Linked DNA regions of Notamacropus eugenii. The protein of the gene in region 4 interacts with the protein of the main gene of each other region in a biochemical or structural test. Links are inferred from orthologs where the notes say so. Each region holds a gene or a part of one and is shown on either strand. Other genes may lie near its edges.

Region 1 (7,387 bases), on a different chromosome or scaffold from region 4:
CACCTCCAAATACAGGGATATGATCTGGATAATTATTACATATATTAATTTTTAATAGGAAAGCAAGCAGTCACTACAATTATGACAAAGTAACTGTGCAGAATTGGCTTCTTCATAGTGCCACCACCTACTGGAAGCCTTGAAATCACAGCCTACCTCCTGGCTGCCTGCAAACTCAGACACCACACTGCAGTGCTGACGAGTACAAAAAGGCAATGCAGCTATCAGGGAGGGAGGAAGGGAGGGGAGTCACTGGATGCTTCCTGCATCCTCAACAAGGCATTCATAGCTCAGTCTTTACTATGGGTTTCTGATACCAGGTGTGGAGGGAATTGTTGGACTCTAAGGGAGGGTGTTTGGTGCCAGTACAAGCAAGAGGGAGGGATGGAGAAGAAGAGAGATAAGGGATCGTTAAACTTCAAACAATAAAAATTTAAAAAGACTAGTTTTCTGGTCATATATGCCTGCTAGTGCTAAAGCTAGGATCCCCTTCTCTGCCCCTCCCACCACCATTTTATTGTTACTGAATATCTCATAAAGGAGATTAAAAACACATGCAAGATTGGGAAAAGGGGGGGAAGGACCGGGCTCAGGACTTAGGAAAAAGCAGCTGGTATAGTCATTAACACCAACAACCTGCTTTAATTAAAGCACGTTATCTATGACTGATGTGTAGCTAGGCTACACTTAAGTCCACAAGGAGGATTTTTTTAATCAACTTTCAGTTAAGTTCCCTAGCTAGCTTCCAGTTGATTGCTCTGGGTTAACAGTCCATTTATATGCAGGATCATTCTCCTAGACAGTAATTCAGCAATTCTCAAATCAAGAGAAGCATGACATTTTAGAGGTAGATGGGACAGAACAAATCTATGGCTTAGTAGAAAGTGTTCTGGGCAGGAAGGCAGATGTCTACAGGTACCAGCCCTCACTGTGTTACTCAAAAGCTGTGTGACCTTAGCCAAATGTCTTCATTTCTCTGAACCTCATATTTCTTCTGCTGTAAACTGAGAGGGTTGATGCTCTCCTAGTCAAACAAAGACTCTTATCTCACCTAGGAGGCAGAGTTCAGGTCCAATTTTTAATGGGAAGTCCAAAGCTGTTAGGAAAGTATACCTCCCTCCCCACACTGATGTATTTGATAGCTTTGTGGAGACTCAGCTTAGGCCCAGAAATGCTTGAGTGACTTGCTCTAGACCAGGGGAAGAAAGAATCACTAATCTATTCAAGGTTCAAAATAGAATCCAGACATGACTGCCCCCTTTCTAAGATCAGTTGTATCTTTCTGACTGTCCTTGGAAAGACAAGGGGAGGAGGCTGTCCTGGAATTGATGGCAAATTCTTTAGTAAGAACCAGAGGGATCTGGTAAAGTGGAATCCGTTATCAGTAAGAAATTAAAGTTTTTCTCTGATGCATGACCTTGCTCTGAATTTGCTTTAAAAACAACAACAACTGAAATTTATTCCACTTCAAGACAAGCATGGAAGGAAACATATTGTAACAGCAGCATTCATTTATTTATTCAAATGCTTTATGTGCTAGGGTGCCCTGGAGGCATTTCTCTGGTCCATTTTCTTAAGAGCTATATACATGTCAGCAGCTGAAATTGCCTTTAAGGTTAAATAACATGGAAGCATCTTTAAGATCTAATCCTCTGTGGATTCCTTTACAGAATGTCTACAGTGCAAACCTCCTCTCAATCACAGTGCACTCATATGGAGCCTTTCAAAATCTGGGAAGGAGGGAGGGAGGTTAGATTTGAAAACATGTTCTGTTTATATGAAAATGTAGCTTTATGTCTTAGCATACACCAACTTTGTGCACAACATCCCATCAGTTACTAAGGGTTGGGGGGGAGTGTGACAGGTTAATAAAAGTTAACCATGAGTTTCTAACAGACATCTTCAAAATAAGCAAAATGTCTTAAAGTGAGTTTTCTTTGACAAATGAACAGTAGCAAAGCATTTAAAAACTTTTAAGAGTACAGTTCAACACACTGTGGTTACTGACTGTTATGGCTAGACTGAGACCTGTGTGCTAATGTAGAAGAGCTGGGATGAGCTCCCTGCATTGGCTAGATTATCAGTTGTTAATTAAATCATAAGTTCTGGTAGTAAAACCAAGTGATTTCCAAAGGCACAGATGTGTCCCTATGCTATTTACTCCAAATATATGTTATAGAAAACATAAGACACCAAGTCACCAGGCTTTTGATGAATATCGGTTTTTAACACCCCTTTTGGTAAAGTATTTCCCTGATACTAGGAGTTCTTACAGCATAATATAGATCACAGAATGATAAAATTCATGAATGGGAATGGTAGAACTCAAAGAAATCCCAGAGATTATCCCACTCTAATTCTCCATTTTTTTTTTTTTTACAGAAGAATAAACTGAAACCCAGAGAAAAGGGGCTAATTTGTTCAAGGTCAAACAGCCAGGTAGAGCACTCTTTTCACTACACCATAGTATACTTTTTATAGCAACAATGTGATATGTCATTGGAGGAAAACTGTCTAGTCGATACTCATTGCCAGCATAAAAATGGATGCATTAAGAAAATTCACATACCAGGAATACTAACTAAACATCAGTCAAAGACAATGATACAGATTTCTATGCATTCAAGACAAAAATTTCACACTTCTGTCCTAGACTTCTAACGGAGAACCAGTTATAGAGCATATAGGTATTAGAAGTGAAGGAGAAAAAAAATTCTTTAAGTCACTATTCATATCTAGTCTTTGAGAAAATTCTAGGAACTTGGTGTTGCACTGACTGAATGCAAACACAGGATATCCTCAAAGTCTGCAGGGTTGAGCACCAAGCTGCACCAAGACTTTTGGGACACCTTGCACAAGTGGTGTCAGATTAATAGAGCACATCTGTCATAATCAGTGCATGAAAACAACCTTACCTCCTCAAGCAAGTGGCTGGCAGGGCAGCAAGTCCTTTGCACATCTTGGTTTCTTGCTTGTCTTCAAAGTGCAGATGAGAAACACGGCAGGAGCAGCTGTCGCCTCTGTTTGAGTCTTTTTTGTCTCAGACAGGATGCTGTCAGATTCCTCTGAGAGTCTTCCTTCTGAACCTGCCCGAGTTTCTTTTATAGTCCAGTCCAGCCCAGCCAGCCAATCAGATGGCAGCACTGTGGCACTGGTTCTCCTCCCCTCTGCCTCCTCCAACCCTTGGAAGAGAAATGAGGAAAAGACAGGCTGACGCATGAACAATGCCAAATGAATAAATGGGGGATAAAGAAAAGAGAAGAGAAAGAAAGAAAGCACACACAAGAGAAAAACTTTACCCCAATACCCAACCAGATATCTATTTCAAGATGTGTGGGCTTCCAGAAAAGAAATAAAACAAAGCTTTATGATTTTTTCAAAAGATGGGACTTTAGGAATTAAGAGTTCTGAAATGGGAATTAATTCTAGACTTGACTCTATCACTAGCTTTTGACACCTGAGAAGTCATTATCCCTTTCACAGCCTGGAGTCAATGAATAATCACCTGCAGTTCTCATCTGTAAAAGGATGAATCTGCACTAGATGATCTCTGAGCTCTGACATTCATTCTCTGTGTTTGCCTCTGGTTTGCAGAATGAAAGAAAGCTACCTCAAGGAACCTAAGGTGTTAGCAGGAATATGTGGGCTTATTTTGTGGATAATTCCTATCGCCTGTTCTCAGCAACCCTTCTAGGTAATACAGAAACCAATCATCACCCATTTCCAAATGAAAATCATCAGGATGCTCTAATTTCTCAGCAGAGATTTGCAAAAGTTGAACCAACACCTGGCATGTTGCAAAGGAGTGCACAGGGAAAAGGAACCTGGTAAGATGGTGATTAGCCTGACAGAATAGAGAACACATCTAGAAAATATGGATCAGCTACACCTATAATCAGCCTGCCAGCAAAATGTGTCCTTAGAAACCTTATAGGGCCAAAAAACAAAAATAAAAATATAGCAAAAAAAAAAAAAAAAAAAAGGCAAGCAGCCTCACCAACTCTCATTGAAATGTCTATTTCAGGATAGAATAGCTACTTGAAGACCAGAGGAGGAAGTGTGTGAACCAATATTAAAAAAAAAAAAATGTGTTTTTCTTTACAAAAACATCTGTATCTCCTACAATTCTGAACTTCAGCTCTATTATCTCAGAGGGGACGATTTGGATTTTTATCAACCAGCATCAAGCATCAGATGAAAACTGAAAAATTCAGCCATACCAATGCACACAGATAGCAGGATGTTTGCTATCATGAGTCTGAATCATCCAGATGATTAAGTAAATGTTTCACATATTCAAGTCATTTCAATTAAATGATCATTTCAATTAAACAATCAATTGTTAATCACCTTCTGTGGTTAAGATGTGTTTTCCTTTAGACATGATCTATGGGTTTCTCAGCAAATGTCAGAGATCAATTCAACTGAACCCTCATTTATCAAGCCCGGACTATGCTCAGCATGGTGTAGCATACAGAGAATTAGCCTTGGAGTCAGGAGGACCTGGGTTCAAAGACTACTTCCAACACTCACTGACTGGGTGACCCAGGACAAATCACTCGAACTTTCAGTGCTTTAAGCAGCTCTCTAAAACTGTGAGTAGCAAGGAAGGAGCTGATTTTTCATATGGGAATTCCCTGTGTTAAGGAACGCACAAGTCCAGTCCCAAATACAAGATAGATCATGTATTGGCAGGAATGAAATATTCAGAAGTAACCTTCCTACAAGGGATTGATGAGCATATAGCCAGTGTGCTGTGAGAAATGTGAAGAGGAAAAGATCATTGTAAACTGTTCAGTGACGGGGTGGGCAAACTGGGAGGATTAGGAAAGTCTTCATGGAGGAGGGGATACTAGATTGGTAGAACAAGCCATGGATTTCAAGAGACAGAGAATGAGGATATGGGGGAAGTGTCAATCACTCCTGGCTACAAAAGACCCATGACACTTCCAAACAAGTCTCAAAAACCAAATTGAAATGTCACTGGAAAATATTTAATGAAATAAAAAATAAAACAAAACCTAGATAATGTTACATTTGAAAGCTAAGTCAGTATGTCCACAAGGCTCCTCATTAATGGTTTGGTGGCTCTCATTTCTATTTGAAACGTTCGAAAACGGAGGCAAGGACCAGGTATGCTAGTCAAAGGCATATTCTTCAGGAACATCCGAAGAAGGCCAAAGAAACCATGTTTTGTTGTACCTGGCTACAGATGCTTCTATTTTCAAAGCTAATTGCAGAGACAAGGAGACATAAACAATGCAGCAACAAAAGCTGACCTTTCTGTAACATTTTCCATCCTACAAAGCGTTTGACTGCATCTCCTTTGGTCTTCAGGACACACCTGTGGAGGCACAACAATCCGCACTAGCCAGTTGTGGTAGAAAGCTGAACTAGCAAGTGTCCTAAAGGCGGAGTAGTAACAACGTTTGTCTGACACTGTTGACGGCTTGCATTTCCCTGCGGAATGCAAACATTTTCTTGTCAGGGATGGTTCTTTCTGCAGGGATTATAGTGGTGCTTTATAAACGCTTGTTGGATTTCATTGGATGTCGCATGCATAACCTTCTTTGCACCCTCAGGACAAATTAGTGAGGGAGGCAGTGCAGCTCCGGCCCATTTTTACAGAAGGACAAAACAGAGACTCAGGTAATACAAATGACTTACTCTAGGTCCCTTAGCTAATTAGATGAAGAGCCAGGTTGTAAAGCGCAGTCTTTTGTCTCCAAGTCCAGTCTTCTTTTCATATCTCCATCCTGCAGAGATAAATAATGTAATGTATATATAAAAATATATTCATATATAAATATTATTTGTTTTTTCGTTTATTTAAATTATTTAAATAAAGAGCCCATGGCCAGCAGAGGAGTGAATGATGGAACTGCATTAGGACTGAGCAGATTATGGATTAGATAACAAACAGTTGGCAGGAGAAAAGCTGGAAGAACTGAAGGGTCAAGAGCAAGCTTTCTGGAAAGTCAAACTTTAAATCCCCTTTAGCTGGAAGTGGTTTCCTTTACCTTTTTCTGTCAACAGATTTGTTAATTAAATAAGCTCAATGATGGAAAAATATCAGATAAATGAATTTCATTGTATAGTCCTAAGGGCATAGGGTCTATGCAATGAAATTCATTTATCCTCTATAAGGGCATGCAGAGGGTTGGACAGAAATGAAAAATGAACTAGCATTCCCAAGGAACATTTCAATCTATCAGTCATTTATGAAGCACCTACCATGTGCAGGTACTATGTAAAGATACTGAGAAAAAAAGACACAAATTAAAACAAGCCCTACCCTCAAAGGGATTAACATTCTTTGAGTCCAACACTTGCTCCACAATGTCATTTCAGGGATGCACCTCAATCCACTTGACTCACTGCCCTGATGCCAAAAAATTACCCAGTTAGAGCTTAATTTGTTTAAAAGTCTTAGCCAAAAAGGAATTTTGTTCCTTGTTCAAATAGAAATATCATGGGACAGATGTCACTGGGAATTTTAAGGTCATCTAGTCCATTGAAGAAATCAAGCTTAAGAAATTTGTCCAAGAACACACACCTAATTAGTGGCAAAGCCAGGGCTAGAAACAAGCTTCTGGAGCCCCATCCAGCCTAGTATTTTTCCTAGTATGTCTGGCTGCTACTTATTAAATCCTAGCAGGTGTCTACACTTACACGAGAATGATTTCCCTCTCCTCTCTACTGATAGATCTGTCGCCCTAGTTAATTTCCTCATCCTCATTACCTCTCACCTGTACTATGGCTGGTCTCCAAATTGGTTTCCCTGCCCCAAGTCTCTCCACACTCCATTCCATCCACCACAATCTATCAAAGTGATCTTCCTAAAGTGAATACCTGATGTCACCCCCCCAACCAATAAAGTCCAGTGATTCCCTATTACCTCTAGAATTAAATATAAAATCCTTTTCTGCTCAAAGGTAGTAGGTAGGGGGAGAAAGCATGGAGACAGGGAAGAGCCAAATTACATGGCTGTTGTTTACCGGAAAGAACAAAAGGCTGAGGATGACTTAGTCAAAGAATACTGCACTTTGAGGTAAAGGCATGTATCAAAGTCCCAAGTCCACCACTGACTATCTGAAAATAGTACTTGCCCTATCTGTAATGAGTGTTGATTAAGGCAACCTTTGATAAATTCAGTGATTTCTTATAATCTCTTCAAGCTGATTAGGGGGCCGTTGTATTCCTCCTTGGTTTTCAAAGAGGACCATGACATCAGAGAAATTATGACATAACTTGCACTTGACTTTGTTTTGAGAGAGAGAGGGCTGTGTAAGGTCACCAGTGTCACTTTCTCCTCCTGAGCCATCTGGATCCAGTGACCAGATATTCATCAGGATGATGAGAGATGGCCCGGGATTTAATGGGAGAC
Region 2 (7,439 bases), about 510 Mb from region 4:
GGAGAGACTAATTTCAGCTGAGTGATGAGGATACAAGCCAGACTGTATAGGCCTGAGGAATGAGTGATAAAAGAGTGGAGGCAGCAAGTATAGATAACTCTTTCAAGGAATTTGACTGAAAGAAGAGATATAGGATAATAGGTAACAGGAATGATGCAATTTAGAGATATGGTTTTTCTTGTTTTTTTTTTTAAGAATGGGGAAGACAAGCATGTTTGTAGGCAGCAGGGAAAGAAAAGTAAAGCTTTGAGTTACATAAAACACTTCTCACAACAATGCTGTATAGTATATGATACAGTTATTATCTCCCTTTTTATAGATGAGGTTAATTAAATTGCCTATGTTCACACAGCAACACTTGGAGTTTGGAGTCAAACCCATGCTTCTTAATTCCTAAGTACAGTGGGATCATTAAAGGTATCATACTATGCTTCATAATTTTGAATAGATTTTTTGAAATATCTAGACAAATAAATAAATAATAAATCATATGCATGTTTTTGTGTGTGGGGATGATGGGTTTATTTTGGGGGGATGTTGAGTTTGAGATGCCTATAGGCCATCCAGGTAGAGGTGGTCAGTGTGCAACTGTTAACTTGAGAGAGAGACTGGGGCTAGATATGTATGAAGATCTGTGAGTCATCTGCAAAGAAATGATAATGAAATTAATAATAGCTGATGAGGTTAATGAGGGAATCTAGGAATGTTTTATAGAGTACCTTCCTTGCCCATTGAGACCATCATAAAAATTTCCCCCTTTCCTTCCCAAGATGTCTTTGTACCATTTGTTAAAAATTAAATAGAACATTGTACAAGATGCATTGTTGACTTGGGGCACCATGTCATTTATTTTGTTCTTAGATGTTTCAAAACTTTACCCCAAATTGCATATTTTTCTCTCCAATGTAATCTCCAAATGGGTGGCAAAATGAGAAGAGGCTGGTTTAAGAGACCTAGTTTGTATATAACTTTATCCACTACATTTTAAACCTTTTTATCCTGTAACCCTCCCACACTACAACATTTTTTTAGGTAAAAGAAAATCCAATCTTACTTGCAGGTCAAGGGAAATTCAATAACTAAATCATGCTTTTGTTTTAGTGATGGTGTTAAACTCAAACAAAAGTTCAAATTCCCATAGCTCTATCATCCTTCAAGTACTTATAGCTCTTAAAGGCTGTGTAGTGATTGCAAAATAAAAATTAAGTCAAATCTTTCATTCATGTAATCTCAAGTTCATTTCTGATCTTCTTATCTCCTGTTCTGAAAGCTACAACAATGTGGGTTTCATTAAAAATATCTCCTTATTCCTTCAACACATTCCCTTTTCTCAAATAAGGGAAAAACCTTATTCACCTGAGGGTATTTGGGGGCACAGTAGCTCTTTTTGTTTTTTTAGGATTGAAAGGAAGCAGAAATCGAAGAGAGGGATCATTGAGTTGAACAAGTGAACTGAACTTAATTTATAAAGTGAGTAAGGATGAGGGATGGGAGGGGCAAAATTGTAAAAACCTTAGAGAAAGCTTCTCATTTTCTAACAATAGCTGACATTTACAAAGCTGTCATAGCCCTCAGGAACCCAAGGTCATTTCCATACCATGGTGCAGGAAAAGCATTTCCCTCTTGCTCCTCCCAACCCCCTACCCTTTCCGGAGGTGGGGTGGAGAAGGTCACAATGCCGAAGGGCTAAGAGTCAGCTTAATAACAACAATAATAACCTGACACTTATATAAGTCTTTAAGGATTGCAAGCACTTTGTATATGCCATCCCGTTTGATCCTTACAACAACTCTGGGAAGCAGATTCTCCTTTTACAGATGAGGAAACAGGTTAAATGACTTGCCTACTGTCCCACAGCTAATAAGTAGGGAGGATTTGAACTTAGGTCTTCCTGACTCTTTTCTATATGCACTAATGCCACCTAGCTGCTTCCAATTTTTATACTATTTACAACCATTAGCTAAACTCTTGGCACTCTACATGTGAGTTCCTTGTCCAGTGATTCATAAATAGACATGCTGCTAGGGGAAGTACATCCTATCAGTTTTGACATTTACACATCACTTTTACATATACATCACTTTTACATTACTTTATTTATACATTATTGTATTTGATCTTTTAAGCAACTTGGTGAGATAAGTATTACATTATTATTACATATATAATATATATACATATATAATACATATTAATTATTATTACCACTTTACATATTTAAAAAGTGTCACAGAGGTCATCAAATGACTTGTTCATGGTCACATAGTAAATTTTAGAGACCAAGACTTGAAACCCAGTTTCACCAGACTCTAAATCTAGCACTTCTTTTGGAACATCACATTGACTCCTTACTACACACTTTGTGTCTGGAACAGAAAAGATGGGGAAAAGGTGGGGTTTTTTCTATTGTTGCGTTTAAATAGGCTATTCGTTAATTAGTTGAATTGACAAATAGAACTGAACCTTGAGCAGAAGTGTTTTTATTTTAGTCTCTTTTTTTGGTGGATTTTTGTTTGTTTTTTCAGAAAGTCAGAATCACAGTTGGAGAGGCAGCATGACAGAGAAGTAGTTTTGTAGTCTAGAAGACTTGGGTCCTGCCTAGAGTTGTCTTTTTCTACTAGGTACTGACTGTGTGATCCTGGGCAGATAATTTAGCCTCCCAGTTCACCCTTAGTAATCTACATTTGGGAAAGGGACTTTTCTCACTAGGAGTTCTCAGTTCCAAAGAAATAATAGGTCCAGACCAGGAAAAATAAAAACACTCATAATTAAGGAAAGTTCTATACAGAAGGCTGATCTCTAAAAAGATTTTTTGACATCAGATAACAGAAAAGAAACAACTTTATATAGTATGGGATAAGTGGACATTGTCTGGACTTAGACTCAAGAGTGCTGGGATTCAAAGCCCCTTTTTGACACTTAGCTAAGATAATTCACTTCTCTGAGGTTGTTTCTTTATCTTTCCTCGCATTTCTGACAACTAAATGAAGGACTGTTGTGAGGAAAGTACTTTGCAAAATTAAAATATAAGAATGAATTTCCATTATCTTTATGAGGTGCTTATGTCTGGGTTTATTATGATAAGGACGGTTTGAAAAGTGGTAGGGTGTACTTTTCCAAGTATAGCAAGGAACAAAGATTCTAGGAGAAATTAAAAAAAAACAAATTTAAAAATTAAGGCATTTTTGTTCCTAAATTGCGTAACAGATTTTGAGTTGGCAGGTTATTTAGTCCAAGACTAAACTGAGGAAACTGAAGGGTTAACTGACTTGCTTAAAGTCACACAGGAACTAAAGTATAGAGCCACATTAGAACTCAGGACTTAAACTTCCAAATTCAGCACTTTTTTCCTCTGTAGTACTCTAAGAAAATTAACATTTTATCAACAGAATAGTTCCAGCGTTACAGGAAACACAATCTGAAGTCTGGAGAGAAGAATTTTCCCCCTATACAACAGTTTTAAAATTTTCTTTTAAAAATACAATTTTATTTGATAGTTTTTTGTTTTCACATTGCTTAAATTTCCTTCTGTTCTTTTCTTTATTAAATAGCAACCACAAGACCACAAACAAAAAACATTCCCTTGCTTGGAAGATGACATTTATGTACAAGTATTGCAACCAGTTTTTTCAGGACTGTCCTTTTATCTTCCTGCAAATACAATTTGCCACTTTCTCTTGTGCTAAATACTAGTGTAAGAAGTGTACTCGGACACAAAGCTAAGGATGAGGTGTCCAGGGGTGCAGATGAGCCTCAGGAGATGTATCCAATTCATGTCTCCAGGCTGCTTACTATCTCCTCCGCCAGTAACAACTGTCCATTGTGTTGCGGGCTTCAGCACTACGATATTCTCATTTGGGGGTACAGGATGGTCTCCACCAAAAACCTACATCCCTCTTTCTCCGTCCCATTTCCCCCTCAGCCTGTCTCCCCGTTTCCTCTCCTCTCCTTGCTCAGTTTTTCACCGAGCCCAGAGAAATGCAACCCTCACATCCAAGCCTCCAGCCCCTGAAAGGTAACCGGGCATGCTCACTGAGCCTCTCCCAAGGAGAAAGTGTCTCGTTGTAGCAGTGTCCTGAGACCGGGAGGTGCCGCTGCGCCCCTGCTGCCTTCCATTCGCCTGACCCAGCGGAGAAAGTTGGGCTCCGGGAAAGGCAAGGGAAAGGAGGGACGGAGCCAGCGAGTGTGGAGGGAGGGGAGGGAAGTAGGGTGGGAGGGGGACGCCAGGAGCGTGTGTCACTCGCTCGCTCCACTCCCTCTGTGTATATAGGATGTGCTGAATGGTGCTCTTCAGACCCGCGGCGGGCGCGGAGGAGGCAGCGGAGGAGGAGCAGATCCTGAGCCCCAGTCGAGCCCGAGCGGGCGGCAGCGGGAGCAGCGGCGGCCGCTACGGCTCCAGCGGGCTCCCCCGCGCCCCGTCCCTCCAGGTCCGCCGGCCAAGCCTCGGTACCAGCTTCGTCCCTCGCTCGCCCGTGCTCGCTCGCCGGGTCTCCTGGGCATCTGCCGCTGCTCCCCGACGGGCGCCCGACACCACTTTCCACGGAGGGCATGGACCGCTTCCTCTCCTGCCCCGCACTCCTGCGCTGAGCCACCTTCCCCGCGGTGAACGGAGGGGAGGAAGGAGAGAGGGGTCGGGGGAAAGCCAGAAGAGCCCCCCGCTTCCCGAGCCAGTGCAGACCCCAGGCCCGCCCCCTCCCCGTCTCCCCACTTCTCTCCCCTTCTCGGATTGTCTTTTCTCCTCCGCTGGCAAGCCTCCATGTGTGTAGATGGCCGGGGCACAGCCAGGAGTTCACGCCTTGCAACTCAAACCTGTCAGTGTCTCGGACAACCTGAAGAAAGGCATCAAATTTGTCAAATGGGATGATGTAAGTGGCCTCCCTTGGCGGGGGAGGGGGTGGGAGTGGGGGTGGGGAAGGTGGGAGGAAGCACACGCGTTATGCAATGGGCATAGTGGATCGATAAGGGTGCCAGAAAGTACACATGTTGGAAACTGCACAGGCAGTGAAAGGGCAGTGTGCGTGTGTGTCTGTCAGCGTTCAGTATTTTACATCCTTAAGAGCGGAAAGCAAGGAGAAGAGGATTTTTAAAAATCATTACGCTAATATCTATGGCAAGGCTTATGTTGCCTTGACAGGTCATTATAATTCGAAAAGTAACGTGGGTGGTACTTCTGACGGGTAGACAAGTGTCCTTAATGTGCATTGGGAGAAGGAAGCTTCTTTTTCCTCCTACAAATGCACAACTCCCAAGTCCTCCATCATTCCTCCAGAAAAATGACCATTTGGTGCTCTGAGTTATTAATTCAAGAGTGGCAAGCTGCTGCATTGTACCTTATTTAAGTGATCTGACACCAGACGGTATGGGCTCACACCACAGGTTGTTTGCTCCCAAACTTAAGTCTCTGTCTTCTTCAAAGTAGGGGCTCCAGGGTAAAGGCTAACGGTAGAGAGGGAGCATAAAGTGGCATTTTGTGGATTGACAAGGGGGAAGAGTCAATAGCTTTGCAGGTGCTGCCTGCTAATTTTCTAGAGCTTCCAAGGCTTTTAAGGCAATAGCTTGAAAAGACCCTGCTGTGAAGTTTTACCCTGCAGTGTCAGGGGGCCTAACATGGTAGCGGAGACAGAAGGGCAAGGGATAGATGAGAATTGTCATAATTTCAGGACCCCACAGGGCTCTGAGAGTTTTTCTCCTAAGAATCTGAATCTGAACATGACATTCATCCTCAAGAGACATAAATTAAACACACACACACACACACACACAATATTGAGGGAATAAGTTTGGACTGACAATAGGGAATTAATTTTTATTAATACTACATCCTTGATTTCATTCAGAATTTATTGGTATGAATTATTCATTGTGATAAACATGAGACTTCCAGGGTTGAGGGAGATTTAAGTCCAAATGATTGAGGCACCTCTTAATCAGGAGTAATTATAGGACAGTTGGGTACCCTTCTTGTTGAGAATGTTTTCCACTCAGCAAATTACAGACTATTATCCTTCAGAATGTTTCCCTTTTAATAATCTTATGTCATTTTTCTTCCATGTGAAAATAATTTAGATGGTCCAGGTAGAAAATCCAGTTACTTAACCCAGTATATTTGTTTCTATATTTTGTAAAGTTGGAAGTATGAATAGAGAAGGTACAAGATTTAACCGTTTCCTTGTCAATTATCAGAGGCAACAGGCAAAGAATAAAAACTGTATATCTTTTCAACAACCCTATCCTGATGGAACAGGACTTTTTTTTAGGGGTTGGGGTGCATAAATAATTTAGAATATAATCAGTATGTTCAAAGAATCCAGTAGATATTTTGTCTGGGTCAATAAGTCCATCAATAAAACTTATTTCCTATAGAGATTTTTGTTCATATTCAGTCCCACTTGATAGAGAATCAGTGTAATCAGAACTACAGAGCAATACAAAGGAGACACCTGTAACAGAGGCGTAACAGCCTAAGATAAGATGTCTTAGTGTAAGCTTTGAATTCCTTTACCTTGTTTTTCTCATAACCATATACTTTATGCAAAACCTCATTGCTTTCTTATTTGATTTGCATGCTACCACAGAAATAAACTAGGATAGAGTAGAAAGAAAAGTAAACTAGTCAACCATAACAAAATTGAGACTAAGGGTAAGTAGGGTACTTAACTACTTAGACCTCAACAAGTAGAGGGGCTGCAATTCAGGGCATTTAAAAATGTTACTCTTTATAAGTGCACATATTCTGAGGTCAGAAAATTCTGATCTCTGTGGTTCACTGTATTTTACTAGGAAGTCCGAAATCTTGTAGTGGACAGCAACACAGAGGATGTACGAATTTTAAAACCTTGCCCAGCGAGCACACACATGCCTTTCCAGTTTTTATCAGAGGTCTTGGTTTCTAACTCTACCTCTTCTTTAGTTCACTGGGTGACATTCCATTCCATTCTGGGTCTCATTCTTATTTCTTCAGTGGAGAACTCACCTGCCCTGGAACAGAACAGAATTCCCTGTGTGGATCCAGAGTGAATTTATGAGTGTTTTCTAGATCACAAGTGGTCAAGTATTTGATAGTTAGTTTTCTCATCCTTGTGTTCCATTTAGTCTGGACTACTGACCTTAGCCTGTATCTTTTCCACCTAAAGAGAGGGTGAGGATCCTTCTTAATACAGGTTTTGCAGTAATTGAACTAGAAATACTGGGCTAGGGGTTGAAAAGCCTGGGCTTTAGTCTTGGCCCAGGCCATTATTAATTCTCTCGTAGCCTCAGCTTCCTTATCCATAAAATGAAATTATTATTATGTCAAATGAGATAACATATGACAGTATGTCATAAGTCTATAGAATCCCATACAAATATATAATAAAATAACTAACATTTGTATAATGTTTTTCTATTTACCACCTTCTCCATACATTTTGCTAATTTGGTCTCTGTGATAAATATACCAC
Region 3 (8,051 bases), on a different chromosome or scaffold from region 4:
TCACACAGGTTCTCCCACAGTGCAGGAGGCCTTGCTTACTCCCGTCCCAGAAAAGGGAAGCTAGGAGAAGAGGCAGTGATCAGCCCCTCAGGTTCCCTACACCTGAGCAGGATCCAGCCAGATCCTAGTGCATTCTGGGTCCTCTGGGGTCCCCACCCGAAGAACTCCAAGTGCTGTGGGCTCCCCCAGCTTCCTCCTTCCCCAGCGTGGCAATTTCTGAACTTGCTGGGCCCCATCTTGTCCGTGCTCTCTGGGTAGCACCACGCACGCAGTAAGCCCCAGTTCCTGTTTTCAGAAATCTGATCACCAGAGTCAGAAAAGAAAGGGGCCCCCAAGGAAGGGCCTTTATGAGCAGCAGGCAAATTCCCCTCTCCTGTCCCCCACACTCAGTCAATCTGAAACCCAGTGACTGGAGATGCCCTGAGAGCAAAGGAGAGCGGGTACCACGGGCCAGCCTGGGGGGCTCACTGCTCAGCACTGGCCGACTCTGGCACCCACAACTCTCACTTTGACCCAGCCAGCCCGCTCAAGGGTCCAGGAAAACATAGTCACACCCAGAGTGAGCTCATGCCTCGGAATCCTGACCCAGACACACTCCATGTGCATGCAGGCTGTCCCCCTCCAGGGAACCTGCTGGCCCTGGCACCCCATTATCTGGGATGGGCTCTCAAAGCACCAGGCCAAGCTCTCAGTTTACAAACGACAGAAAGGACCTGCCACCCCTTGGGTAACCCGTGTCCCAGCTGCTACATGGAATTATCAGGCCATAGCTGTCCCACTGTAAACATGGTCCAGGAGGGAGGGCAAGGCAGACCTCAGGCCCTTCTAGGTACCTCAGGGGAGCCAGGCCAGAGGAGGAATATGGGAAGGCCTGACGTCATGGGTGTTTCTCCCAAGTGTAACGAACAGATGGCATCTGGGTCCACGCTATGCATTTATACACTCCCTGCTGGCACCCAAGTGGAAGGGGCTCTCCCTCCAGCTGTCTGGGGGCTGAGGGAGACGACAATGCTGTTTACCATTGGCCATATCCCATCCCCTACAGATTCCCCTTGGCTTTCACCTCTGGTTGAAAGACAGACTCAAAATCCTCAAAATCAACTTCCAAGGTGGAAAGTACCCTAGAGAGGCCACTAAACATGTGTCTTCTCCCCTTAATGTCATCCCTCAGCAAAAGTACTGGCTGAAATTCCATCTCTGGCCAAAGGTTAGTGGGGAAGGGAGAGGCAGGAATTAGGAGAAAGTCCTAGTCAAAGATGTGAGTGGTATTTTTGAGGAGGGTAGGAGAAGCATAGGAAGACAGGGGGAAACTGGACAGGTTCAGGGCCAGGCCAACAGAAAACTGTCTCCAGATGAGAATGGAAACTCCCTGAAGGCAGGAACTGGTTTTATCTTTTGTCTTTGTATCGCTAACGTTTATCTCAGTGCCAAACCAGAGTAAGAACTTATTACTGATAGTAAAAGGGGAGAGAGTATGTTACAGAGAGGGGTCTAAGGAGGAGAAATCACAGTCGTAGTAGAAGAGAAAAAAGGTGATAAGCAGACAGAGTAAGCATGGGGGTGGGGTGTTGGAGGTGAGAGGGAGAGGATGAGAGGAAAGGAGAAGATTGGAGGGGCAGGTGGGGGGTTAGGTGAGTCTATGGGATGAAATAAGGGCCTGAAAATTGGTAAGGGTTGCTAGGCAATGAGAAGTTTGAAATGGACACGGGGGAGGTGTGAGGAGTAAAGATGAGGCCTCAGAGCCGGCATGAGTTGGGGATACCCTGTGGGCAGCGCAGAATGGACAGTATGGGGAGGAGGGGTGGGAGGGATGGCAGGCATGAAGAAGAAAGGACTGCTGGAGAGCAGGAGGAGACAAGTGTCCGGCCGAGGCCACTGGGGTGCCCAGGGTGACAGTCAGGGATGGAAGGAGAGGGGGAGCTCTGAGGGCTGTCCCACGTTTAGTGTCAGGGTTAGTCTTAAGCTTAGGGGCTGGGACCAAGTTTAGGTTCAGTTTCAGGCTGGGGAAGTTTCAGGGTCATTTTCTGGCAGGGTCAGTTTCGGAGTCGGTTTCAGGGTGGGTTTGAGGGTCAGTTTCAGGGTAGATTTCAGGGTCAGTTTCAGGGTGGGTTTCAGGGTCAGTTTCAGGGTGGGTTTCAGGGTCAGTTTCAGGGTGGGTTTGAGGGTCAGTTTCAGGGTGGGTTTCAGGGTCAGTTTCAGGGTGGGTTTGAGGGTCAGTTTCAGGGTAGATTTCAGGGTCAGTTTCAGGGTGGGTTTCAGGGTCAGTTTCAGGGTGGGTTTCAGGGTCAGTTTCAGGGTAGATTTCAGGGTCAGTTTCAGGGTGGGTTTGAGGGTCAGTTTCAGGGTAGATTTCAGGGTCAGTTTCAGGGTGGGTTTCAGGGTCAGTTTCGGGGTGGGGGGCTCGGGGTCGGTTTCCGGGGGGGCTTCGGGGCCTCTCACCTGGGCTCGGGCAGCAGGATCTTCTTGCTGGCCCGCGCCGCCGGCGTGGCCTTGCTCTTCTCCATGGCCATCAGGTAGCTCACGTCGGCCAGCACGGCCTCCAGGTCCGCCATCTTGTAGCCCCCTTCGCCGCCCTGGCCGCCTTGGCCGCCGCTGCCCTGGCGCTCCTGGACCTCCACGCCCCGCACGGCGAGGCCCTCCGCCCGCCGCGGCCCGGCCCGGCCTCCCCGGCCCCGGCCTCGGCCCCGGCCCCGGCCCCGGCCTACACGCGGCGGCGCCGCCCCATGACGCCCGCGCCCGCTGCTCCGCCTCCTCCGGCTCCCGCTCCGGCCCCGCCGCGGCCCCGGCCCCTGCCCCGCTCCGGCTCCGGCCCCCGGCCCCGCCTGCGCAGCCGAGCACCACCCGCCCGTCAGGCCCGGCCGCCGCAGCAGCCACGGGGCGAGGGGGGGCGGCGACTGGGGGGGGGCCCCGATCCGCGCCAAGTACAAGGAGCGCACCGACGAGGAGCTGCGCCCCCTGCCGGCCGAGGTCGTGCGCCGCCGCGGCCCCCCGCTGGGCGCCGCCGCGCCCCCTGCCGGCGGGGTCCGCGGCGTCCGCCCTGGGGCGGCTGTGGAGGGGCGGGGGCGCGCAGAGCCAGAGCTGCGCCCCCTACCTAAAGAGATAGGTCTGACTCGCATCGCCCGCTGCAGACTAAGCCCCGCCCCCAGCCCTCCGCCCCCCACAGCGCCCCCTACAGTGCCTCGATCCCTCCCCCCAGTCCCCTCTTAGGGTAAACCCCGCCCCCAGAACGCCTCTTCTTCCGCGCCCCGGCCCCGCCCACGTAGGCTCGTCCAATGATGCCCGGGGTGGAGGGGTGTCGTCAGAGTGCCTCCTTGTGCAGATATGACCCCCACCTGCCAGGGGCTGCCCACCAGACCCCGCCCCCTCCCAGGGAACCCTCCCCCCACTCCTCCCGCACCTCGACACCTCCCCCTAGGGCCGCACTACCCAGTGTCCACCTGCCCCTAACCGGGTCAGTCAGCTTGTACCCCCTGCCCCCCATGACTCCCCCCATTCTGACTTCGAATCTCCGAGACCTTGGCCCTGGCTGTCTGAGCCTTGTCACTGGAACTTAGCCCTGCCTGGCACATAGTAGGCGCTTCTTAGACGTTCCTTGGCAATGGACGGCCTCCCCTCCCCACCCCGACTGCCTCCCTGGCCCAGGAACCCCCCATCTTGCCCTGGCCCTCCATGCCGTGCCCTGGGGCTCCAGGCCCACTGGCTCCCCCCACCTCCCTGGCCCCAGACCTGCCCGTTTCAGTCCCACAAACCTGAACTCAAGTCCCTCTGTGCTAGGAATGGGAAATACTTGGAGGAGGAGGGTAGCCTGGCCTCGATGAGCCTCCGTCCTCTTAGGGAGGGCGGGCCGCCCGCACAGGCCAGCACGCTGCACAGAGGGACTGAGGGGACAAGGGGGGGCCGGTATCCCTGTCCTTAGTCACCCTGCCGGACAACCGCTGATGAGTGTTTAGAGGCAGTCTAAAAACCTGGGCATCTTGGCACCCTCTGCCCCCAATCAATCACCTACTGTGTGCCAGGCACTAGGCTAAGCACTGGGGGATTCACAGAAAGGCAGAAGACCGAAGCTCATTGGGGAGGGGAGACGGATAACCAAGTATAAACCAGACTCGGACGGGATAAACCGGAAATAGTCATAATGGACTGAGGACCCCCGAGGGAGCCACCGCCGGCCTTTTTCAGCCTGTCAGACCTCGGAGAGCTCACGGGGAGGTTATCTTAAGCTAACACCTTCCAGAGTCACCACCACACAACGATCCTGACAATGCATCCTGTAAAATGGGCCTCACCTGCCTTGAAGGATTGTTGGGAGGACAGAATGACATATTTAGCCCAGTGCCTGGTACATAGGAGGTGCTTAATACATGCCTATTCCCTTCTTTTCCCTTTCCCTGACATCAAGCCTAAATCTGACTTCTCCACTTCCACTTATGAGTCCTGCTTCTGCCTCCAGGAGCCAAGGAGAACAAGCATACTCCTTCCTCCCCAAGACAGGCCTTCAAGACAACCAGCCATCAGTAAACTAGAATGTAAGCCCTTGCCCTTTGAGAACCCAGGATGTTTCATTTGCTAGTTTTGCATCCTGGGACCTAGTCCAGGGTGGGAGAAACTTAAATACTTGTTCATTCAACTATTACGAGACACCAGGAATACAAAGGCAGAAATAAAGACTCTCTCCCCTCAGGGAGCTTCTATTAGATCAGGAAAGATGATACAAAATAACTAGGAAGTAGATTTTCTCAGCTGGAGGTGGGGTTGGGGGTGGGGAGGGGTGGTGGCTGGATCCAGGTAGGCTTGATGTAAAAGGTCTTGCTTGAACTGAACTTTGAAGAAAACTTGAGATTCTGTGAAAGAGTCGAGAGGAGGAAGAACATTCCAGGCATGGAAGTCAGCCCATAGAAAGGAACAGGCAGGAGAGAGAATGTCCTTCATGAAAAATAGAAAGACAACGTATTTGTCCAGATTAAGAGTATGGAAAGGTAGGTTAAAATGAGTCTGTGAGGGGTTTTAAATATCAAACAGGAGTTTGAATTTGGTAATAAAAATACTCGGGATCCATTCATCAGCTCATCAACAAGCAGGCATGCTAAGTACCAGGGATACAAAAAGGCCTCCCATTAGTATAGTTTTACTGTTTTCTCCTGTAACTTATTTAACTTTTCCTTCAAAAATTTGGATCCTTCAAAAACCAAACCAAAAATTAAGAAAAAAATTGGATTCTTTGCTATTTAGTGCCTCTGTGTTCAGTATTATTATAATTCACTGTCTATGGTAACTTTTAGCAAAATACAATATCTTTGATTATCTCTTTAGATCTATTTAATTAGATTATTAGATATTGTCTATTATATATTATTAATATATATGGGATAGATTTAGATTCTCTAATTATCTACTTTTGCTTTTTCTTAGATCATGATTGTTAACGTTGCCTTTTTTTATTCAACCAAAGCATAGTAAAATTCTGCTGTAGCTTCTAATTTTAAATCTGTGTAAGTCTTTCTGTTTCAAGTGTGTTTTTTGTTAACAACAAACATATTGTTGGATTCTGGTTTCTAATCCATTCTCTTCCATTTAATGAGTGAACTCATCCTATTCACATTCACAGTTATAATTGCTAACTGTATATTTCACTCCATCCTATTTTCTTCTTTTTATTCTCTTTTTCCCCTCCCCCCTCATTAAAAGTCTGTTTTGTTTGAAGTCACTGCCTATCTTAATCCTATCCTCTTTCTTCTTACCCCCCCCCCCATTTCTCTTAGCCCCATCCACTCATACTTCCTTGTTGGTAAAATGAATTTCTATGCCCAACTGTGAGTGTATAAAAATAAACATATGTATATGTGTGTGTGTATGTATGTGTGTATATACACACATACACACACACACACACACACACACACACATCTCTCTCCCCAATCCTTTCCTCGCTCCCTCTCTTTGAACTAGATCAGATGAGAATGACATTCAACCACAGTCCATTCCCCCACTCCCATTTTCCCCTCCATTGTAAAAACTCTTTCTTGTATTCCTCTTTTATGTGAGATCATTTCTCCATTCTCCTCCCTCCCCCTTTCTCCCAGTTCATCCCTCTTTCTCACCTTTCTATTCTTCTTTTGAAGAGTAGACTCACATTTATACCCTCTGTCAAAGTAGACTCCTAACTGCCCTACTCATGATGAACTTCTTAGAGGTTACATATGTCACTCTCCCATATACGAATGTAAACAGTTCAACCTTGTTAAGTCCCTTGTGATTTTTCACTCATCTTTACCTTTTTATACTTCTCCTGAGTCTTCTGTTTGAATGTCAGATTTTCTGTTCAGGTCTTGCCTTTTTATTAGGAATGCTTGAAGGTACTCTATTTCATTAAATATCCCTTTTTTCAAACTCTGAAAGATTGTGTTAATCTTGGTTACAGTTCTAGCTCCTTTGTCCTCTGGAATATTATATTCCAATATTATATATATTCCAATATTATACTCCACTTCTTTAACATGGAAGCTGCTAAATCTTGTGTGAGCCTGACTGTGGCTTTGTGATATTTGAATTGTTTCTTTCTGGCTGCTTTCGGTATTTTCTCTTTGAACTGGGAGTCTTTGAATTTGGCTATAACATTCCTGACTTTTCATTTTGGGATTTTTTTCAAGAGGTTAACAGTGAATTCTTCAATTTCTATTTTGCCCTTTGTGATATCTGAACAGTTTCCCTTTATAACTCCTTCAGATATGATGTCTAGGCTCTCTCTCTCTCTCTCTCTCTCTCTCTCTCTCTCTCTCTCTCTCTCTTTCTCTCTGTGGATCATGGGCTTCATATGGGATCCAATACTTCCTAAGTAATCTCTCCTCAGTCTATTTTCTAAATCAGCTGTTTTTCCAATGAGATATCTCACACTTTTCTCCTTTTTTTTAATCTTTTGATTTTGTTTTATTCTTTCTGGATATCTTGTGGAGTCATTAACTGCCACTTGATTGATTTTGTTTTTAAGGAGTTATTTTCTTCAGTGATGTTTTATACTTCTTTTATTTCATTTGACCAATTCTGATTTTTAAGGAGTTATTTTTCTCAGCATTTTTTAAAATTTTATTTTATTTTTTAGTGTTCTACAATCACTACCATAAAACTTAGATTTTAACCCCTCCACACCTACCCCCCTCCTCCCCTCTCCCTCCCCAAGACAGCATACAATTCTATATAGGATCTACATATACTTTCCTATTGAATATGTTTTCACGATAGTCATGCTATGTAGACGAACTAAAATAAATGGAAGAAATCATATAACAAATCAAAACATAATACACACACACACACACACACACAAACATGATCTGCTACATTCTGCGAATGAATTCCATAGTTTTTTCTCTGAGTGTGGCAGGCATTTTGCCTTAGAAAACCATTGGGAATTTTTTTTTTAAAGGTTCTTGCGTTATTACAAAGTTCCAAGTCTACCAGAAAAAACTCTCACACACTATGGTTGTTGCTGTGCACAAAGTTCTCCTAGTTCTGCTCCTTTCGCTCAGCGTCAGGTCATATAAGTCCTTCCAGGCTTCCCTGAAGTCTTCTTGTTCATCATTTCTTATGGTGCAATAGTACTCCATTACATATACCATAATTTATTCAGCCATTCCCCAATTGATGGGCATCCCCTTGACTTCCAGTTTTTGGCAACTACAAAGAGTGCTGCTATAAATATTTTTGTACATGTGGGACCCTTTCCCATTTTTATGATCTCTTGGGGATACAGTCCTAGAAGCAATATTGCTGGGTCAAAGGGTATGCACATTTCCGTAGCCCTTTGGGCATAGTTCCAAATTGCTCTCCAGAATGATTGGATGAGCTCACAGCTCCACCAACAATGAATTAGTGTTCCAACTCTCCCACATCCTCTCCAACATTTATCATCTTCCTGTTCTGTCATGTTTGCCAGTATGATAGGTGTATTGTAGTATCTCAGAGTTGTTTTGATTTGCATCTCTCTAATCAAAAGTGATTTAGAGCATTTTTTCATATGACTATAGATATCTTTAATTTCTTCCTCTGAAAATTGC
Region 4 (8,084 bases):
TGATATATATGAAGCTAAAAATCACTTGACAATTCTACTTTATAGGGTCGTGTTACAGTGATCTATGTAACTTTTAAATCTTCATGATTTTAAAGACTAAACTTTAATTTCAGGTTACACCACTATTGCTAATTGGGAGGGGGAGATTTTAATTAGGTGGAAGGGAATTCTAATAAGCTTATTCAACTTATGGATGGAAAAGAGGGGTGGGGGAGTCACAGCAGATGTTCCCCAGACCCTCTAGTCCAGAGAAGTACAGTAGATGTGAATTGTTTTCTTCCCCTTCCCCTCTCCTAGAAAACCACCACTAACTTTCATTTAAAAACAAAGCAGGCCTATTTAAATAAATAGAATACATAGTTACAAGTAACTAAAATCTTCCTTCTGGGACAAGTTTCTGAGGCCATTACACGGTCTGCCCTCTGCTCTTCTCAAGAAAGTCCTGAAAAGTCCAGCCACTGAAACATTTGTTGCACTATCTAGAGTAAGGGCTAGAAACCCTGGAACCTGCTGTTCAAACCATAAACAGACACAACTCAAGGCACAATGCAGGTCAGGTGAAAAAATACATTTTGAAATGAAAAAGTTTAAAATGACACATTTATGCTTTCTAATGAGGCAGCTCTACAAGAGACACATTTCCTCATTGTAGAGAATATCTCATCTATCCAGTTGGTTCAATTTCAGCCCTTAAAAAAGTAGCCCTCAATTTGAATCAGTCTTTATCATGAAGTCTTGGTTTCTGCATCCCTCATTCTATTACCTTAAAGCCCACATTTTATCCTTCAGTCCCTCTGCCTTCCATTCTCTTTAAACTAAGCATGTGCAAATCTGTCTAACCGTGTTCCAAAGTGAATCACGTGTTCTGCTTGCTTCTTTACAACATGTATAACTAACCATTTGTATCTTTCTGCCACTATTCTATTTTGTTCCTCCTCTTTAATTGATCCAGCACATAAACAATAGGGCTTCAACAACAGAATAGCTCTTTGCAAAAGAAGATGGAATGTTCAAGATAAGATGATATGTGTTTCTTAGACTCTTTAATAACAGTAATCTTTGTCCAACACAAAATTTTATGTAATGGATTTCCAACACACACAAGTATCCATAACACTATGGCAGACATTTTTCAGGCCTATTATTCCAAAGCCCTATACTGTTCCTGTCACAGTAATTAAGAATTGTGTCACACTGTACTGCATGTGAAAACTAATCTCTTGATTTTTAAAATGCTTAAAACACTGTCCAAAGAAAGCATCACTACAGATTCCTATCTGAGAAAGGACATTTTTTTTGCAATCCCCTTAACAGAGCAGAATTGGAAGGTTCACTTCTTCCCCCTGGTGAATGGGAAACTGTCCTATACTCTGCCCGTTTTATTTCTGGCCCAAATGGGCCAGTTCCAGAGGTGTTAAATCACTGTCATTTTTCCAACACACAATAGGTCACTATTCTGCTCCACAGAGTAGCTGAGGACTGGATTCTTGATTCCAGTTAGGACCTGTTCTAAAGAGAGTCCTTCATGTGGCTGATAAGCCACATGAAACCAAAAGCTTCCATCACATCAACAACCTCTACCACTCTCACCACCACAAACCCCAACACCTCGGACCCCAAGTCTCTTTCCTTTGGAAGGACGGGGAAGCTAGCTAATGAAGCCTGCCCCCCAACCTTCATCAAGAAGCTCTCATCTTCTCTCGCTCTTGCTCTAGTCGCCAGGTTGCAAAAGAATTTCAGTTCTTTTACAACATTTGCCGCCTCTTTTTCACATCTCACTTTAAGCCTCCTTTGCCCTAGCTTCCGAGAGCCACCACCACCATCCCCTTCCTCCATGTCACCACATCGAACCTCCTTCTGAAGCCCACTGTTTCAGCCTCCCTACACCCCAAAATGCATTCCTAATACAAGCACCCAGGGAAGCACAGACCTGTAGTATCTATTGTACATAGATAATATGTTTGTACATAAATGTATATATAGGGATCTACATAGAACATGATCCACGGTAGATGCGATATATGTGCGCGAACACAATTTCCCGACTCCAATTATCCTAACGGAAATAGCACGCTCCCACAGAGCTCAGGCAAAGATACTGGGAGTTGAATCCCTATTTCTCACTCCCCCTCCCTCACCCCCAAATCCACATGCCCTGCCCCCTCTTGCCATGATACGACTTTCATTTGCACTGTGTCCACATCTGATACACACGCATACACTATGCATAGCCCTTGGGTGTGCATATACCCGGGCACATACACCACGATAGCTGTGAAGACGGGGGAAGGGGGACTTGGGGGGCGTAGGGCAGGCATACAGAAAGATCCACTCCATAAGGGCACCGTGCGCGCGTGCGTGTATGTGCGTGTGCGTGTGTGTGTGTGTGCGTGTGTGTATGTGTGCGTGTGTGTGTGCGCGCGCGTGGTGGTGTGCTGTGTGTATGTGTGTATGTGTCGGGTGCTGGGGGAGGGGTGCTGGGGGAGCACATCAGCGGCTGGGGGTGCGGAGGGCAGCTGCCCCGAGGGTGGAAGCAGGCGGAGGAGAGGGCAGGCGGAGGGAGCCGCGGTGGCTGGGGCAAAGGAAGGGAAGTCGGCGGGGAGCGAGGGGAGGCGGCTCTCCCACTTACCCAACAGCAGCAGCTTCAGCTCCCGGCGTGCGTCCCGCTTGTCCCGGCGGAGCTGCCTCTCGATCTCATCGTTAATCCGCCGGGCTTCTTTGGCTTCTTCGCTCAGGCAGCACGCCATGATGGACTCCAGAGTCATTCTTCCTAACTGCTTCAGACACAACCCCCCAGTACCCCCAGAAAACACACGCGCGCGCGCGCTCCTTCCTCACTCCCCGCCGCGGGCCGCGGCGGCAGCTAACCCCTGGGCTGGGGGTGGGAAGAGGGACTGGGGGTGGGAGGGGGGTCCGGGGTAAGGCAGGGTGGGAAGGGGAGGGGAAGGTGGGAGACTCCCGAAGCCGCCCACCGCACGCCCGGCGAAGCCCGATCCCGGCGGCGGGGCCCGAACGCACCAGCGGGTGGAAGGGAGGTTCGGGAGGTGCGAGGAGGAGAGAGGGGGAAAGGCCCGCTCCCCCGGCCTCTCTCACAGAACACCACCACCTCCCCCCACCCCCCACCCCCTCTGCCTCCTGCCTCTGTCACTAGCTAGATCCAACTCCTCCTCCTCTTCTAAATCATGCACCGAGCCACACAGAAACATCCACCAGAGCAGCTTCGCGGCTGCGGCGGCGGCGGCAGAAGCAGCAGCAGCAGCAGCAGGAGCAGCGGCAGCAGGGGCAGCAGCAGCAGCAGCCGCGATGGCACAGACACCGAGCGCACCCTTCTCCCCTGCCCCGCCTGACACCACTCCCCCTGCGCCCCCCTGGATCCGAGATGACACCCGCCGGGATCCCTTTCCCACCCACCCCGGGCTCGCGCGCAAACACACTCACACACTTCCACACACACCCCCCTTCTTCCTCCTGGCCCTCCTCCCCTCCCTCCTCCCCCTCCCCTCCCCCTCCTCCTCTGCTCTCCGCCAGATGCCCACCCCCCGGCCCTGGTGAGTGGCTGATCAGCTTTCTCCCTCCCCCTCGCCACACACACACATTTTCTTCTCTCAACTGGAGCCCAGATCCGGGAGGGAAGCGGCAGCAGCGGCGCCCGCGGGGGAGAGGAGGAGGAGGAGGAGGAGGAGAAGGAGAAGGAGGTGCCGGCGGTGGGGATGGTAGTGAAACTGGAGGCTGGAGGAGGTGGTGTCGCTCGCCTCCTCCCGGGTCTCTGTGCCGGGGATTCTTCCACTTCTCGTCACCTCCCCGACCCCTTCCCCGTGGGGTTCTCCGTGTGCTGATCCTGCTGCCTCCTCTGCCGGTTGTCGGGGCTGTGCCCGCTGGCCCCGGCTGAGAGGAGGGGGAGGAGCCGGCAGGAGGGCCGGAGGCTGAGGCTCGGGCTGCCGAGGCCACCGCCTGCCGCCGCGCCCGCTGCCGCCCGCCCTCGGTGGGCTGTGTGAATCCAGCACCGGCAGCTGCGGCCGCGAACCTGCCTTTGCCAGGGCTTAGCCTCCCGGGCGTGGTAAGGCAGAAATATGGCGGCTTTCGCTCTCGGTTCTCTGCCCACCAGACACAGATACAGCTAGTTCCACACACTCCTGGAAATCCCACGAATTCCAGCCTCCAAACCCAGTGGACAGGCTTGCAAAGCAAACACCACTCCCAGCAACCCCGCCAGTCTGCCACCGGCGCGGCGCTCCCCCGATGGCCGCGAGGAACAGGGGCGTTTTTGTCCTGGAGGGCAGCGTTACAAAAAATACTTTTTAAAAAAAAGATCCTAGTTTCAAAAATGCCATTGAATTACAAACCACCTCACACCACCTCCACCTTTAGGCCATCCTTGGAAAACTTCGACTGGAATCGTGGGGTGGGGCTGAAGGGGGGCCAAATTTGTAATTCATTCCCCACCGGCAGGGTGGGAGGGGAATCTTCCACAAAGTTACTTCTGATTGAAATGAAATCCTGAGCCGAGAAATGAAACTGCTGAAGTTTCCGAGAGTTTCACAGGCAACGTTTGTAACTTTTCATGCCCCTGAGATTCATTGTTTTTGGTGTTTTTTTTTACCAGCTTCCCCTCTGGTTTGGAAATCATGCCAGCCGTTTGAACATGTTAGGAAATCTCTCTCTGTCTCTCTCCGTCTCTCTCTCTATCTGTCTCTCTGTCTCACTCTCTGTGTCTCTGTCTGTTTTTCTGTCTCCCCCCTCCCCTCGTCTCTCTCTCTCTCTCTCTCTCTCTCTCTCTCTCTCTCTCTCTCTCTCTCTCTCTCTCTCTCTGTCTCTGTCTCTCTCTGTCTCTGTCTCTGTCTCTCTCTCTCTCTCTCTCTCTGTCTCTGTCTCTCTCTGTCTCTCTCTCTCTGTCTCTCTCTCTGTCTCTCTCTCTGTCTCTCTCAATCTCTCTGTCTCTCTCTCTCTCTCTCTCTGTCTCTCTGTCTCTGTCTCTGTCTCTCTCTCTCTCTGTCTCTCTCTGTCTCTGTCTCTGTCTCTCTCTCTCTCTGTCTCTTTCTCTCTCTGTCTCTCTCTCTGTCTCTCTCTCTGTCTCTCTCAATCTCTCTGTCTCTCTCTCTCTCTGTCTCTCTCTGTCTCTCTGTCTCTGTCTCTCTCTCTCTCTCTCTCTCTCTCTCTCTCTCTCTCTCTCTCTCTCTCTCTCTCTCTTCTTTCCCTCTCCCCGAAAAACAAAGAATTAATGACAGCTTAGCTCTTTAAGTATGCAAAATTATGTGTGACTGAATAATGTAAACAATGAAACAAAAAATAAACAGCAGAATAAACGTTCATTCCAGCAAAATTTCTTCCCATTTCTTGTTTCTCTAGTTTTGATTGACACTGTTTTGATGTTGCTTGGCTACTTTGTCCTGATACTCTACTGATAACAGGGTAGGACTTCCTGTGAATTTCGAGTTTTGGATGATCCAGCAGCTCAAGAAGTGAAACTACTCCTTCCTTGCTTACTGGAATCTGATGTTTTAAGGGTAATATGTGTCCTGGGATCTTCCTTTTTCACTGAAGCTTTATTTCATGAAGATTTCTCTGTTTTAATGTGTTCATCCTGGGATGTCAAGAGATTTCACTGCCATACTACCACTGGAATCTCCCACAGGTGCAGAATTGTACAAAGGGTTCTACAAGGTGACAAACATCATCTCAATGTTTTTAGGGGCTGGAACCTGCTCACTCCCCATATATGACAAGTCAGGAAGAAAATCAGACAAGTTCTCAGATTCTCGGATCTACCAGCCCCATGCTCCACTTGTTCCCTACTGCCTTTTTTAAGTCATAGACAAAAGGGATCTATAAAAATCCATCTTGCCTGACAATGAGGAAGGCAAATATCTCCTCCCGCACTGCTAAAGCCCTAATAAATGACTGCTACACATGATAAGAAATTAAAATTTAAAATTAAGTGACTAATGCGATTAAATATTCAAATTCAATATTGCAGAATTTTAGAATGACTGCAGGGAAGAAAATTTAATTATGATTTTTCTTTCATATATATGGTTCTTGTATATATTTATGTTTCATATGTATGTGTCTGGATGTGTGTGTATATATGTATGTATATACATACATACATACGTACATACGTACATGTGTGTGTATTCCAAAAGACCAGGAAATCAAATGAGGATCAAGAACCCACAAAAACCAATGACTGGTGATCTAAGGGAGCAGGGACCATTGGAAACTTATTACAAAGTCTCCAGTGCATGAAACTATCCACTTTGACTGATCTAACCCATTACTTGACTGAATTAAGCAAATTGAATGATTGTTTCAGGACTGGGTAGACAGGGCCTTATACAAGTATTTGAAGTCAAGATGAAGACTGCCTTTGTGTGTTACAAGTATTAAGATGGAGGAAAATGGCACTTCAGTATTAAAACAAGATAAAAGGGAACAAAACTGAACTGGGGGGTGGGGAGAGGGAGAAAGAGAATAATAGTTCTCCATGGGGAAGGAAAATTCCAGGTCTGAGCCTAATAATGATACTTTAAATTTGCATAGTGATTTAGAGTTTCCAAAGCTTTTTCAATTATATTACCTCACTTGTCTACCTACCATCTTCAGAACTAATCTCACTACACCACACTCAAAATTCAATAAATTGCAGTATATCCTTGAATTTGACAACCAACATTTTTCTATCTCTTCATTTTAACTTAAAATCGACTCTCTCCTAAGGACAGCACATCCCTCTAAACCTCTCCATTCTCCAAACTCTTAGAACTGGTAGGAACAGTGCCCGTGATCCTTTTCACTTGAACTTCTACATATCTATCTACCAATCTTCTCTCCCTGACCTTTCCTCTTTTAAGTATTAAGTAAGTATTTAATTTAAGTATTAATTAAATATTAAGTATTTCCTCTTTCAAGTATTAAAAGGATTTACTTTTATATGTTGATAAATGTCTAACATCTGTGAAGAATGGATCCTTCAGTGTATTCTTCCAACTTTCCTCAGTGACAAGCATTATGTTCATAGTATTCCTCTCCACCCCACCCCTTTGCCATTACCCTCACATACTTCAATGTTTAAGGAAAAGACTGCTCTGACAACAAGACCAAATAATGACTCAGCCTCCCCAACTACAATAGTTTTCTTCTTCATCCTCCTTTAGGCATACACTCACCATCTCTCAGAATTATTATTACTACCTCCAAGATTTGAAACTTTTAACCTCTCTTTGTATCTCTCCCACTCCTTCAATTCACAAAATCAGCTCTTCACCCTTGTTATGACCCTTGGTCACTTGACCCTGTTTTCCATCTTTCCCACTCTGTCTTTACTTTCCTTCATGCCCCCTTACCTGCCACTTTAATGATTCACAAGTTACCACTTACCCTAGAATCTTTTGCCTCCAAACCTTCCCTCATTCTGGACCTGCAAATTCTCGTCTCTGGATAATTCCTGTCATGTGATTTTTCCACTTCGTCTAAGCTGCTGAGCATTGCTGGAGAAAGTGATAAAACTGAGCTGATTCCATCCACTACAAATGTATGGTTCATAACCTCAGTTAAACCTTTACTGCTACTCAATATTCCTTCTGCTCTCCATTATTGACTCCCTGTCTCATTCGCCACAGCTACTGTTGCAAGCTTTTTCCTCTCTTCCCAAACCCAATGGCACCCCATCCCTATCCTCTATCCCCTGGATAATCTGATCACTTCATCAGCATGCAGATGACTCAGGTTTTTGAGATTCACCACCGTCTTCACTTCCTCATTTGCGTCCTCCCTCTGACTGGAGGGCTGGAGGTTAAAGCAGTGAACTTCCCACAGTGTTTCTTTATAGAGGGTTCTGAACTTTCAGAATTGTCTAGGTAACTCTTCATTTTCCATCTTAAGCTCTAAGCTCAGCTTAGTTTAAAGTCCAGAGAACATTGTACCTATATTGTACCTATACACTGGGGACTCCCTGCTGCCCCTCCCCATCCCCTTCAGCTTCCTTTTGTTTATTGTCTTTATCCATTAGATTGTAAACTCCAAGAGAGCAGGCAAAATCTATCTTTCTTTTCTTATTTGTATCTCCAGAACTTAGTATACTGCCT

Evidence for each region.
Region 1: the proteins of guanine nucleotide-binding protein G(q) subunit alpha (region 4) and RGS4 form a complex in vitro, tested with the Homo sapiens proteins (3 studies listed by BioGRID). The link is inferred for Notamacropus eugenii from reciprocal best matches to the Homo sapiens genes GNAQ and RGS4.
Region 2: the proteins of guanine nucleotide-binding protein G(q) subunit alpha (region 4) and PLCB1 form a complex in vitro, tested with the Homo sapiens proteins (2 studies listed by BioGRID, with this or other methods). The link is inferred for Notamacropus eugenii from reciprocal best matches to the Homo sapiens genes GNAQ and PLCB1.
Region 3: the proteins of guanine nucleotide-binding protein G(q) subunit alpha (region 4) and GRK2 form a complex in vitro, tested with the Homo sapiens proteins (3 studies listed by BioGRID). The link is inferred for Notamacropus eugenii from reciprocal best matches to the Homo sapiens genes GNAQ and GRK2.

What each region holds. Positions count from the first base shown.
Region 1 is NC_092873.1:483,813,210-483,820,596, forward strand, and holds the start of RGS4 (regulator of G-protein signaling 4), read right to left. Parts: upstream 3,083-7,387; 5' UTR 2,960-3,082; coding exon 2,916-2,959; intron 1-2,915. UniProt on the Homo sapiens protein: Inhibits signal transduction by increasing the GTPase activity of G protein alpha subunits thereby driving them into their inactive GDP-bound form. Activity on G(z)-alpha is inhibited by phosphorylation of the G-protein.
Region 2 is NC_092872.1:580,611,913-580,619,351, forward strand, and holds the start of PLCB1 (1-phosphatidylinositol 4,5-bisphosphate phosphodiesterase beta-1), read left to right. Parts: upstream 1-4,298; 5' UTR 4,299-4,766; coding exon 4,767-4,865; intron 4,866-7,439.
Region 3 is NC_092873.1:19,721,469-19,729,519, reverse strand, and holds the start of GRK2 (beta-adrenergic receptor kinase 1), read right to left. Parts: upstream 3,132-8,051; 5' UTR 3,117-3,131; coding exon 2,440-3,116; intron 1-2,439. UniProt on the Homo sapiens protein: Specifically phosphorylates the agonist-occupied form of the beta-adrenergic and closely related receptors, probably inducing a desensitization of them. Key regulator of LPAR1 signaling.
Region 4 is NC_092872.1:67,954,926-67,963,009, forward strand, and holds the start of guanine nucleotide-binding protein G(q) subunit alpha, read right to left. Parts: upstream 3,055-8,084; 5' UTR 2,766-3,054; coding exon 2,630-2,765; intron 1-2,629.